2 linked regions of the Bombyx mori genome follow. The main gene of each other region encodes a partner of the protein of the gene in region 2 in a complex. Links are inferred from orthologs where the notes say so. Each region holds a gene or a part of one and is shown on either strand. Other genes may lie near its edges.

Region 1 (2,069 bases), on a different chromosome or scaffold from region 2:
AGTTTTAAAATTATGTTTCTATCTATATATTTCTGTAATCTATCTAGTTATATATATATAAATGAATTGCTGTTCATTAGTCTCGCTAAAATTCGAGAACGGCTAGACCGATCTGGCTAAATTTGGTCTTGAATTATTCGTGAAGTCCAGAGAAGGTTTAAAAGGTTCAGGTTTCAGGAAGGTTCAGTGTTTGGCAAGCAACATATTTTAATGATGCTTTTACAATCCCTTCTGCCTATGGAAAACTATGACATGGCCATCTTCAGAAAAAGTATATCTTAAAAATCCAAAATAACAGCTTTGTAAATATTTACATCCAAATTATGTACACTAGAGATCTAAATCAATTCTGGTTTGAAAAAAGGCTTAAGTATTAAGGAATGCAGCTATGTCTAATAATTATCAGTATAGTTTGATGTGAAAGGTAATAAAAACTTTTTTCTGTGATACATTTTTGAGAATGGTAAAAATATAGATGTTTTTTATTGATAAATTATTCTTTCATACTCTGGTATAAAACTTACATAAAACTGAAGAACTAGGTTATTTTTCGATCAAAGGAAACTTTCTTTTCTGAAATGAATATCCGGAGACCGCTACTAAAACACTATATTATAAGAATGATTTATTAAGAAACTTAAGCTTATATTAATATGTACACTTTAAATTGAAGTTGTAGGTTAGGTTAAGTTCTATCTTGTTGAAACGGTCGCCTCCTTTCTAGCGGCATCCTGGAGAAGCTGGGTGTCTACCTCATCAGCCGGCAGTTGTACGTATCGAACCACGGAGCCTCTTATAAAACAATTTTTCACTGATAACATATGAGGATACTTTTCAGAGTCAATCACGCTTATATCCGAAAGCTTTATATTGAGATATTGATCCACAGAATGCAACGTCCCACATATGCTGAGGTCATTTTTCAGCTCGACGACTACATCCTTACCGACTAACGATTTGAAAAACGAGTAAAACAACATTTTTCGTTTTGTTTGTTTGAAAACGCGCTGAAACAGTAATTTGGCTTGGGTTCTTCAATTAATGTCATTTAAAACTCAAAGTCAAAATCATAAAATGTCAATGCCAATAGCTTTTTGTAGCGGTGTGAATCGGTATTTTCCGTAATTTTGTTAGTTTTGTGCAGGAGCACCATCTCATTTCCAATGTCTTGCATTTACTACGTTTTCGTTACCTGTGCTTAAATTTTTAAAACAAATCGGGACTTTTTGGCGGGAACGTAAGGAGTGAAGCTGTGTGATTTATTTTATTTTGTCTATTTAGTGTTTCTTCAGGCTTAAATGTAATAATGTAATCTAATTTAATGTGATAATGGTGGTTTATTGACTGTTTAATATCTGTGAAAGTGTACAAATGTGGGTAAATGAAATAAAGCCGCTGGACATAGCTTCTCGAGATCCTCCAAAAAGTCCACTGAAAAAATCTCAGTCAATGACCACCATTTTACTGAGAATATGTCATCTCATATCATCTCATCTCATCTAATTTAATTTAATTTCATCGCAGTTGATTAATATCTAAAATTAATCATCTTCATTTCATGTCATTTCACTACATAATTGTAACATTTTTCATAAAAATAAGAATATTAATTAAAATAAGACATGACTTAAAGATCTTAATTACCAGGTCATAAAATTCCTTAAAGCGAAATGTATAATCTATAGCGTCCGCTAATCCCGTTTGAGCTTGGTTGAGTTGTTTAATTTTTTAAAGAAAATTGTGTTTTTTTATTGTTTTAAATCGATTTTAACACTGAGAGTAATGTGTCCACAAACAATCAGTACCTCATTTACTTAGTTCTTCGAAAAACTGTTGCTCGGACTTAAAACCAGATAGATAACCTCAAACGTAAACTTCAAAATGGCATCTGTAGATGAAATCGCCGACATTGTGAGTTTTTACGCATTAGTCGCATTAATTGAATATAATTAAAAACTAAAAGAACAAAGGTTTTCTTTTTTGATTTGATATTCCTGAATGTTGTGTAATTCGTTTATATAAGTGCATGTATTAGCAATCGATTGTTGTGTAGTTCTAAACAAGATAGT
Region 2 (2,736 bases):
TTCATTTTTGAAAGTTCCATGAAGTTCTTCCCTTATTGTGAAGACCTTTGCATATATTCAGTTCTAATTTTATTACCACATTGAACACCAGACTAGAAATCATGTTTAGTCCAGTGGAATGGTGGACACCCTGTAACAACCATTTACTTAGGTCTATGACGACACTGTCTGCCATTTGAAATATCTCAGAAAACAATACTTAGTCACTGTTTCCATACCTCACTCATTACTTTTGAGTAATTTCTTGAGAATATTTTTGAAAAAACACTACATTTTTTTACCCTAGGGGAAAGTATGCTGTGGACTCATAGTGTCTGTCATGAAACCAACATGTTAACAAAATATTGGACTGGACTGCACAGCTTAATCCCATGATGTACATCAGATCTAATTTGCACAAATTAATAAGGGGCTATGAAAAAAATCATATTAAAAACACACTTTTACACTTTGGTTTATTATAGAAATTATAAACTTATTGACAGGTTTGTGGACTTCTTGACCATTGTAATTTTGCCATGTTTCTTTAAAAATGTTAAAGCATCTATATTTTACAAAATTGTTAGTTACTACTTGCACCAAAAGTAAGTATCTTTTTTTCAATTTTGGTATGTTCAGCCACTAATATGAAGTTATTTTATGCTAATATTAACAACAATACTGGTGAGACTCTTTTAATGCATCATTATAATAACTGATCGTTTTTAGCTTTATCTTACAATATGTGAACTTGATACAATTTCAATATATTAAAATATCGAGTTTGTTTATTTATTACATATAGTTGCAGAATCATAGAACTAACACAGTTTCCAATTTTGTAAAAGTATTATTACAGTTTAAGGAATGAACCAGTAAAGCTATTCATTTCCTGAATATTTTATTCATTAATACTTAAACTAATTACTGCATTACTTCCCTGCAGCTGTAGCAAGAGGATTCCTTAGTACTAAGATCACAGAATCACCGCGGAGGAACATTTTGGAGATGAATTTGTCCTTGTTTACAGCTTTGCCCTGAAAATAAAACCAGAAGTTATACGTATTTTGAATTTGAAGAGTTTTAATGAAATGAGCTAACACAGAATGTTTCATATCCACATAATTGTCATCTTGGGAATTTCCAGTGGTTTGTATTTTATCTCCGCTAATATTGGCCTAAAATACGCGACATCATGTCTTATTGTGTACTTTTCAAGTTGGAGCTGTAGCACTTTTATACATGAGCGCTTGGGAGTGGTTCCTATTTCCAATACATAACCTCAAATTTCTGAATCAATTGAACTGAAATACAGTAACATCTGTTTACCTTCTTTCCTTTGCCAGTTCTCGGTACCTCAGTCCACATTTCCTTAACATTCTCCAATACCATGTTACAATGCCGGTCGAAAGCCTTCACTCTACCCAGGAGTTTCTTATTGTTACGGCAATTTATCAGAACTTGTGTGTTGTTCTTTACTGACTGCGTGAGCACGGAAAGAGGTCCGGTACTAAACTCTTCCTCTTCGATTTTAGATAGCTCTTCTAGGGTCATTTCAGAGCGTGGCTTAGTTGTTGACGTCCTATAATAAGGTTAACATTAGAGTTATTGTTGACCATTACCGGCTAAGCAGATAATATGTTAAATATATTGTTAAAACTACGTAAATCATATTAATACTTACATTTTGTATTATTTTATGGGCTTGTGAACTGAGAAATTGAGTGAAAAAGATTACAATTACAGCAAAACTATCGTACACACGCTAAGTCGACGCTTTATTTTGTCTATGGTGACTCTGCTTTTTAATTCAACAATTTTTTGTAAGGAATTTTGTGACCTGGTAACTAAGACTTGTAAGTCATGTCTTATTTTAATTTATATTCTTAATTTTATGAAAAATGATAATATGGAGTGAAATGAAAATGATTAATTTGGGACATTAATCGACTGGGATGAAATAAAATGAAATGAGATGATATGGGATGAAATATAATATAATCTCAGTAAAATGGTGGTCATTTACTGAGATCTTTTCAGTGGACTTTTTGGAGGATCCCGAGAAGTTACATCCAGCGGCTTTGTTTCATTTTCCCACATTTGTACACTTTCACAGATAATACACAGTTAATAAACCACCGTTATTACACATTTCAACCTGAAGAAACACTAAATAAATAGACAAAATAAAACAAATCACACAACTTCACTCCTCGCGTTCCCGCCAAAAAGTATTATTTCAACAAACAATTATGGCCACTAAATGTCAGTTTTTAACTCGACACTGACATTGATGAAATCGTAAAAAGACGGTGGTAATACTGAAATTAAAGTTAACGAAGAGTTTCGAAAGGAGACTGCACGTCAAAATGGATCGTGAAACCCTTTCAAGATTTATTGAAAGTTATAAGTTCCACATTTTTGTGGAATGTCTCAAGCGCAGACTATATGAATAAACCAAAAATAATAAACGTATTACAATTTTTAGGCCCATTTTAGGGGAAGCTGCAAGGATTGATAGCGTGCGTAAAAAATGATATTAATTATTTGAGTATACTCTGCACGTTTAAAAAAATCATCCAAAACCTCTTGCTATTTTTTGCCTCTCTTCTGCTGCTGCTGACAACATCAGAAGGACTCCCATTTTTGGCGTTTTGATAAAGCAGCTGGCATTTTAACTTAAAACCCTCATTTAATTCGTTCGATTTATTCTGTTCGCGCTTGATACATCCAGCACTGCGGTCTTGAGCTGACGTA

Evidence for each region. Proteins that work in one complex are often made in the same cells at the same time.
Region 1: small nuclear ribonucleoprotein sm d2 (region 2) and U6 snRNA-associated Sm-like protein LSm2 share a complex: the UniProt entries of both Homo sapiens proteins name them as parts of the U4/U6-U5 tri-snRNP complex. The link is inferred for Bombyx mori from reciprocal best matches to the Homo sapiens genes SNRPD2 and LSM2.

What each region holds. Positions count from the first base shown.
Region 1 is NC_085129.1:20,029,830-20,031,898, forward strand, and holds U6 snRNA-associated Sm-like protein LSm2, read right to left. Parts: upstream 1,054-2,069; 5' UTR 981-1,053; coding exon 693-980; 3' UTR 613-692; downstream 1-612. Other genes in the region: protein suppressor of forked, read left to right, coding at 1,882-1,911. UniProt on the Homo sapiens protein: Plays a role in pre-mRNA splicing as component of the U4/U6-U5 tri-snRNP complex that is involved in spliceosome assembly, and as component of the precatalytic spliceosome (spliceosome B complex).
Region 2 is NC_085132.1:3,761,938-3,764,673, forward strand, and holds small nuclear ribonucleoprotein sm d2, read right to left. Parts: upstream 1,742-2,736; 5' UTR 1,666-1,741; coding exon 1,664-1,665; intron 1,562-1,663; coding exon 1,309-1,561; intron 1,017-1,308; coding exon 912-1,016; 3' UTR 661-911; downstream 1-660. UniProt on the Homo sapiens protein: Plays a role in pre-mRNA splicing as a core component of the spliceosomal U1, U2, U4 and U5 small nuclear ribonucleoproteins (snRNPs), the building blocks of the spliceosome.